2 linked regions of the Caenorhabditis elegans genome follow. The protein of the gene in region 1 interacts with the protein of each later gene in a pairwise test. Each region holds a gene or a part of one and is shown on either strand. Other genes may lie near its edges.

What was found.
Region 2: the proteins of nhr-12 (region 1) and C52A11.3 interact in a two-hybrid assay, tested with the Caenorhabditis elegans proteins (one large-scale study listed by BioGRID).

What each region holds. Positions count from the first base shown.
Region 1 is NC_003283.11:10,081,302-10,085,673, reverse strand, and holds nhr-12 (Nuclear receptor), read left to right. Parts: upstream 1-1,624; 5' UTR 1,625-1,651; coding exon 1,652-1,845; intron 1,846-2,030; coding exon 2,031-2,116; intron 2,117-2,162; coding exon 2,163-2,753; intron 2,754-2,814; coding exon 2,815-2,929; intron 2,930-2,979; coding exon 2,980-3,259; intron 3,260-3,324; coding exon 3,325-3,429; 3' UTR 3,430-3,541; downstream 3,542-4,372. Other genes in the region: R04B5.6 (Sorbitol dehydrogenase), read right to left, coding at 1-19, 208-393; nhr-205 (Nuclear Hormone Receptor family), read left to right, coding at 3,990-4,111, 4,289-4,372. UniProt on the Caenorhabditis elegans protein: Orphan nuclear receptor.
Region 2 is NC_003280.10:10,735,709-10,739,318, reverse strand, and holds C52A11.3 (PDZ domain-containing protein C52A11.3), read right to left. Parts: upstream 1,961-3,610; 5' UTR 1,918-1,960; coding exon 1,891-1,917; intron 1,736-1,890; coding exon 1,595-1,735; intron 1,551-1,594; coding exon 1,404-1,550; intron 1,235-1,403; coding exon 1,154-1,234; 3' UTR 691-1,153; downstream 1-690. Other genes in the region: mpz-1 (PDZ domain-containing protein), read left to right, coding at 1-44.

The sequences.
Region 1 (4,372 bases):
AACTCTCATGGCCTAAAACCTGAAAACTTTTTTTTTTAATTTTTAAATACACTTTTTTGTTCACTGGAGTTTTTTAACAGAAATATTTTATTTTAAAATTGATTATTTTGATTAAAAAAAGGAGGTTGTACTATACATGTGTTCTGTCAAAATAAAAGGGTTGAATTACTCACGGTAACACTATAAAATTACTTTTATATTTCTCACCATCGGTTCTTTAACAACAAATGATCCAATTGCTCCGTGTGTCAAAAAGTGTACATCACTTCCACAAATACCAACAGTATTAATTTTAACAAGAACTTGTCTTGGTCCCGGTTTGGAAATTGGAGCTTGTTCAAGACGTAAATCGTTTATTCCGTAGAGGACAGCAGACAAATTATCTTGAGACATTTCAAATTAGAAGGATTTAATATCAGGTTAAAAATTGAATAAAAGGATGCTTTCACGAATAAGCGGATGCTGAGCTCAACTACGTTGTTGTTGAGAGTCTGGCAGAATGGACACATGTCAGTGCCCAGTACAAAATGTTACACCCATTTATTTTGATATTATCGCATCAAGCCAAGCTGGTCAAAAACTAAAACAACTTTATCACAGGAATTCAAACAGAAAATTCATACTACATCCTACTGGTGTTCATTAGTAAATATATAATACAAGACGTATAAGACAATTTTCAGAAATTCCAAATATCAGGTTACCATAAATCTCGGAATTAATACGAAACATCATACTAGTTAAATGACAATTTTGTAAGTCAGATGAAACATTGAAGGAATGTTTAATGTTTGCACAGTAATTAGCTAAAAATTTCAAAATTTGATTTTGTTGAAGAACTTTAAATTCAAAATTATTTTGCCCGAAAGTTGAGGATTTTTTTCTATTGAAACAAGAATGTATGTTATCCTGTGCATAAATGAGTATGAAACAAAAAAAAGTCCCATTAGAAATCATAGACATGGTCTAGCTTTTAAACCATTAGGTTTGCGGATCAAGATTAAAATTCGAATTTCGGTACCGCTTTTATTGGGGATATCAAAAATTGGTTTGCGCTGCTGTGGAGGAGTGCCGAAAAAATAGTATTAATTCGTGAATTTTCATGTGCATATTATTCGATCAGAAAGTTAAACGAGCATTCTAGATTGAATATCAAAAGTTTCGGAATCATAGAATTAGAGAAAATTATTTGTTTGTTTTATAGTCTGTTTTTTATGCCATTTTTTGCCTAAATTAAAAATTGAAATATGAGTTGTGTTGTTTCTTGTTATTTAGTAACAAACATAAAGTCACTTTTGTCGTAAGATATATTTTGTAGTCAGGTAGTTGAAATGTCATCATCACCGTTATCTTTCTAGAAACTCAATCAATAATACATGAGACGCAGACACTACAAATACGCTATTCTCTGTTCTGTGATCTCGCTACGAACCAGGCTACAAACTACAACCTAGCCGTCTCACGCACACTATTTCTCTTCTTTGTAGTCTTCTCTGTCAATACACTCCAATACATTTGGCCACACAAACGTGTCTCGCCTCTATTTTCTCTTATTTCTCACCTTTTTATTTTCTACATTTTTCAATTTTTGATATAATAATTTTTCGTTACAAAATCTTAATATTTTCAGGAAAATAAAAATTTTCACAAAATGGAGCAGATACCTCAGGAACAAAAAACAGAACCTTTTCTTGCTTCATTCACGACTACAGAAAAACTTGGAACGGAAACACCGACTACGTCAATTACTCCTAATACTCAATTTCGTGGAAGGTATGAAAAACCAAATTGTGCGGTTTGCAATGAAGTTGGAGATGGATTACATTTTGGAGCAGAAGCTTGCAGGTACCTTTTTGATTTTTTATTGATCACCGGTTGTTTTAGTAATTGAAAAGTTTATCGGGCAATCGACTTCAAGAATTTTTAAAATTCATTTATATATTTGATTAACTTTTTCCAATTATTTTTTAACAAGATCTCAATTGAAAGTTCTAATAGCTTAACACTTATAATTTCCAAAAAACTTTAAGAGCATGTACTGCATTTTTCCGACGGAGCGTGGCACTTTCAAAGAAATATGAATGCAGAGCAGGCAGAAACTGTGAAGTTTCTTCGAGTAAGTATAGCGATCATTTTTCAAATTATTTGTTTTCTTCTTTCAGATATTCGATGCATGTGCCGCTCGTGTCGATATGACAAATGTATAGAAGTTGGAATGAATCCAGAATGTGTTCAGAATCGTCGAGAAAACGATACTCCCAAAGCTGATCTTCAATTTGATACTTCAAAAACTGAAATCAGACGACCAATTCCAAATTTTAATATTGTTCCACAGGCTTCAGCTGTTCCATCAACATCCAACTTTATGGATTTTTCAATATTCAAAGATACACCAATCAGTAATTTTTCGGCATTCTCCCCTGCATCGCTTCCTGGACTCAGTTCTTCACCATCTCTTGAAACGATGCCTCTTCTCGAAAGAATGAGAATTAATTATGATAAAATGGAAAATGCAAGGAATGTGATTCATCGAAGAGAAGGAGAAAATATATTTCAACAAAAAGTTCCAAGAGCAATCACATTTCGAGAGGCAACTGAAGTAACAACAAAGGAAGTTTCATTAGTTGCTGATTGGATCGAATGGTGTTTTGACGATTTTGGATTATTACCTGTTGATCAGAAAACGATTTTGTTTCAAAACTTTTTTGTGTTTTTCTGTATGCTTGAAAGAGCATTCATGACTGTCAAAAGTGGTGAGTTTTTTTTTGAAAACTAATACGAGAAATCAAAACTTTAAAACATGAATGATTTCAGGACGTGATGGAATTGTTGTAATGGCTTCAAAAGACTATATTGACTACGATAATCTTGAAGGATTTTTCAAAGAATGCAATAGTGGAACAGGTGGTACTCCTGCAGAAATTGCAAAGTAAGTAAATGTTCCGTTCATGAAACGTTGTCCTGACAGTGGTACTTCAGACTTTGCAGACTGATTAGGCCGTCATTCGAATTACAAAAGAGGAGTCTTATCAACTTGATGCGATTGGAAAATGTAGATTCTTACGAGTTTTTTGCATTATGCGTTATGTTGTTCTGGGATTTTGGATTGGAAGGACAGTCTGATGAGTGTAATGAAGTTGGACGACGAGTCAAACATCGAGTTACAAGAGAAATGACTTTTTATTTGAGAAATGTTAAGAAACACGAAGAACCACTTTATAGGATGGCAAGTGTCGTGTCTATTCTGCCAAGCTTACAGGTAATTTTTTGATAAATTATTCATTGAAAAATCGAAAGTACGGTGTTTAACTATTTTTATTCCAGAGAGCAGTTCGCCGTTTCCAAGAGGACATCGAAATGGCTAATATCTTCAATATTTATGCTCTACCTGAGAATTTCGTCAATATTATAAATGGAAAATTTAATTGATTGTGGTTTTTCTATCTGTGATATACTTTTGTCCATCTTTCATTGAAACCTTGTAACTAATAGCTGTGATCTTTTTCGAAAAATTAAATAAATAAGTATTAATTAAACTTTCTCGGTCAAAATTTTGGAATATCACTTATGATTGTTTTGTTGAAAACTCCGCTTTTCAATTTCAAATTTTAACTGTGTACATGAACTAGCAAATTTAAACAAAATGAAAATGGTAATTCCCTAGAAAATATGAAAATATGCTCTATCCGTTAGTTGTTACTCTTAAAATAAGTTTAAGTAGAAAACAGTTTCCAATCTTCTGACCCTTTGAACATAAAAATGTAGTTATTGTAGTTTGGCTTCATACTTGAAAATAGCACGATTTTGTAAGAGAGTTTTGGTTGTACCCGATAAGAAAAAACAAGTCTCAACAGGTCACAAAGGCTACAAACGTAGGCAGTATCTCAATTCTCTCACTTGGACCAGGCAACGTATTCTCTTGTTCGTATCTTTCTACTTTTTGTCTGTGTTTCTATTTCTATTGCACTCACTTATAATATTATGAAGTTATGGATTCATTGAATTTCCAATTTTTTGAACAAGGATTATCACAAAAGGAAACAAAAAAACCGAACTGTGCAATTTGTGGCGATGTTGGGGATGGTCATCACTTTGGTCTCGATGCGTGCAGGTTGGTTTCAAATAATGGGGTTATTCAAGTAATATCGGAAAATTAAAGTGTAGAAAAATTACGACGCAACTGTATTCAAGTATATAAAAACATGTATTTAAATACATTTTGCTACATTGCTTAAATAACCTCATAAGAATATTATTGTTTAAGTTACAATAACAATTTTAATTTAAGAGCTTGTGCCGCATTTTTCCGAAGAACTGTGGCTCTGGGAAAAAAATTCGAATGTCGACAGCAAGGAGCTTGTAAAATTAATAC
Region 2 (3,610 bases), on another chromosome or scaffold:
TGTATCTTCAAATTGCCCGTCCACACAGTATCCCTCAACAATGAAAAGACTAGTACTGTAGACCCTCTCTCACACACTTCTCCCTGTTACAACATACGTGATATTTTAGTCTTGTAGGTGATCAAACACTCAATTCGTTTCGATTTCCGGGTTTTACACTCTTTCCCTTCATATTCGTCGTTCATTTTCTGACGAACTTCTAATAATATTCTAGCATTCCTACCTTCAAAAGTGCTCAATGTTATTCGTACCGCTTCCCCCTTAAAATTATTTCCTTGTTTTTTTCTTGATTCGAATCCTCTCCCCCAACTTTCAACACAACTCAGGTTTCCATATTTTTTTCTTAATTTTTTTTGAATTTTTTTTTTTGAAATATAGGCGAGCAATTTTATGCATTTTGTAGGCAGTCAATTATGTCTCGCCTCTTCTGTCAAACTCTGCAGGGTACTTTTTTGAAATGTTTTTCTTTTTGAAGTTTTACCGTTTTTTTTTTTGAAAACTATTCAATTCGTTCCAAACATGCTGAATATCTAGTCGTTTTACACCCATTTGCAAAGTATGCGGTGATATTATTTCCTTAAGTTTAGTGTTCTATCTTTTAGTCCTTATTTTGGATCTTTCATTGTTTTATTTTTGGATAATTTCCCACGCATGAATAGTATATAATAAACTGTTTTTCTTGTGTTTATTGTTTTTTTTTAATATTTCATAAATATTCCAATTAGTCGAGTAACCTCCCACCAGGAAGTTCAATAATTTTTTAAGATCGTTACAATAAAACTGTTGAGGTTAGTCAGGAAAAAAAATGTTATAGCGTGTGTGAGGAGGTGAAATTGCTAGCAAAATAGATTTTTTGACGGATAAAATCTACAACAGTAAGTAAGTGCATTCCGTTACAATGCGAGATTTGAATTTTGGTACAGATAAAGGGTTCGTTGGGGAAATAATTATTGTATCTTATCAATTTCTTGCAGCAAACTTCAACAAATTTTAGAAACTTTGGTAATGCCAAAAAAAGTTGATGAGGTTGGTTGAGGCTTTTTGCTGAAATTAGCCTTTTGGAAAATAATTTTTGGGAAGAAATATACGATTTCAAATAATTAGAAGATAAAAAGAAACTGTTCGTAGCGCAATAATTAAAATATAGGGACCATTATTTATGTACCTTGTGAGGACGGGCGATTTGAAGATACAGTCGTTGACCAGATGCTTTGACCGATTTCACCACCGAGCGCTGAAGTAAGTGACAAATATAGATATCGGATATCTAAATGTTTGTTATAAATATAAACTAGTTAGTCTTGCTCGCATCTTGCACAAATTTCCCCCTTAGAAAATTTTTTCAATTTCAGTCAGTTTTTGGATAATTTTATTGTGTCTCCTATTTGTTGTATCATTCTTACCTGATCCAAAATTGGACGTCCATTGACCGCCAAAATACGATCTCCAACTTTCAATTTCTCAGCGGCAACCGATCCAGGTACTACAGTGGTTATGAGGATTCCACGATCTCTTACCCCGACTCCCATTCCGATTTTCCGATTGGCATCCTGAGAAAAATCTATGAAAGTATAATGGAAGTGTTGATGAAAACCTTCTGAAGCTTGACAAGTAATGTATCACAACCCTCTTCTTTCAAATCGGAAATGATTCCGACAGCGAGTGAACTGTACTCATAACTGCTCAATGTGATAGTTGATGGTGGACTAGGTGGTTGTCTTCGGTGAATTTTTATCTGTAGTATTATTAAATATGTTTCATAAGCTCTTTAGGATGTTTTATATGTTTTATACTTGAAAATTGTTTCAAAAATTGTCAAGCAAAGGGGCAGTATTTTTGAATAATAATCCTAATGTTCAATAATTATTTTTCCACAAAACGATTAATTACCGGAAAGCAGCAAGTGATTCGTCGCATTGTTCTGGAATCCGTAGAAAGTTATGGTCCAAACTGATAGTAAAAATCTTTCATCAGAAAATGATTACTCTCAACTTTATATTTATACCTTCCCGGCTCAAACTTTACCTCTCCAATTAACATTATATTTCATTGTTTTTGAATAAATCATATTTACCCTCTGATCATTTTCATGAGATCATAGGGTAACGCGTGATATATTGAACATTTATATAATTATGAATCACAATAGTCATCACTTTAGGGACTTTTTTGTTGCTAACAATCTCAAATAAATTATTTAGTATGATCAGAGAAGGGGTTTCCAAACTGAGATGAGTAAGAATGACGTTAAAAAACTTGCATGCCTACAGTCTAGAAGTTCTTAATTTTTTTTACTTGTTCTAAATCAACTTGAAAGTTCTCACAATCAGTAAATAATTGCAAATATATATTTAAAATTAGTGAAATATAATCTAAGAAAATGTCAGCTGCTACCAAAATTCTGTTCTAACCAGATTTTCGCAAATATTATCTGTCAAACGTTAAAAATAAAAACAAAAAGTTAAAATTTTCTTCCATATAAAATTTGTTAATTTTGTAGTTCCGACTGGTTTGTGCCTTATATCTTACCTTGTGCGGAGTTTGAAAAATCATTTCCGCTCCTTTTTTTAAAGTTTTAATAATTTCGAGGTTAACATGCGTAAAAATATGTCTCATTTCAAAAAAGAAGATCAGACAAGCTAACATTGTTTGAAACTAGATGTGTCATGGAAAAAAAATCATTCAGAATTTTTATTCGGCAAAAAATCGAATTTTTCACAAAATATAAATTTGACTCCTTTTTAAAAAATGTATGATAATTTTGAAAGTTGCCAAAATTCAAAAAAAAATTGCACATAGCTGAATTTTAACCCTTTTTTTCTAGCTTTTTCTTGTACCTAAGTTCGGTTTTTGGGAAATTGATCTGAAGATTTTCTGACGCACCACACTTTTTTTAAAGTCTTTTTCTAAAAAATTTCAATTATTTTTCTCATTTTCAATTCGCTCTTTAAATGTTGTTATTCCTTCCCAGGAAAAAATTGGACTGTCATGTTTTGTACGAAAATTCCCTGACTTGAATACTTTAGATTTTTATTTTTGTATTTGTATTTAATCTGGAATATTCCTTTTTCACGAGCACTTGATTTCAAAATTGTATTTCTATTGCTTTCAGAATGTACATAATTCTACAAAACTTCTCATTGTAGCGTGTAAACAGATCCTGTTTTCCCCCGTTAATTTAAGACAGAACAATTCTTCGAACAATTTTTTCTGAATCCCTTTCCTCTTTCTATTCCCTTCTACTACCTTTTCTTCGAATTCTCACTCCATTTGAGCCACGAATCGTTGTCAAGGAGACTCTGTGTTGTCAGAAGCAGAAGACACCGAAAGAAACGAGCCTCCGTGTGAATGTAATTCAGGTTTTGGATTTCCGAAAAACGAAGAATGTGAATTAACTTTTTTCGTACGGCATTTTCTATTTCCATCTTTCCTCTTTTTTCAAAAAATCACCTGTTCCTCTGCCCACATCAAACTCACATACTTCTGTCATCTTGCTCTCTTTTAGCCAAACTTGTTTGAAATTGAATCGGCGAAAATGCCAATTGATAAGTATAAATTAAGTTTGAATAAAGTATAAACTGGGGTTCTGGTAGAGCAATTATATTTGTCA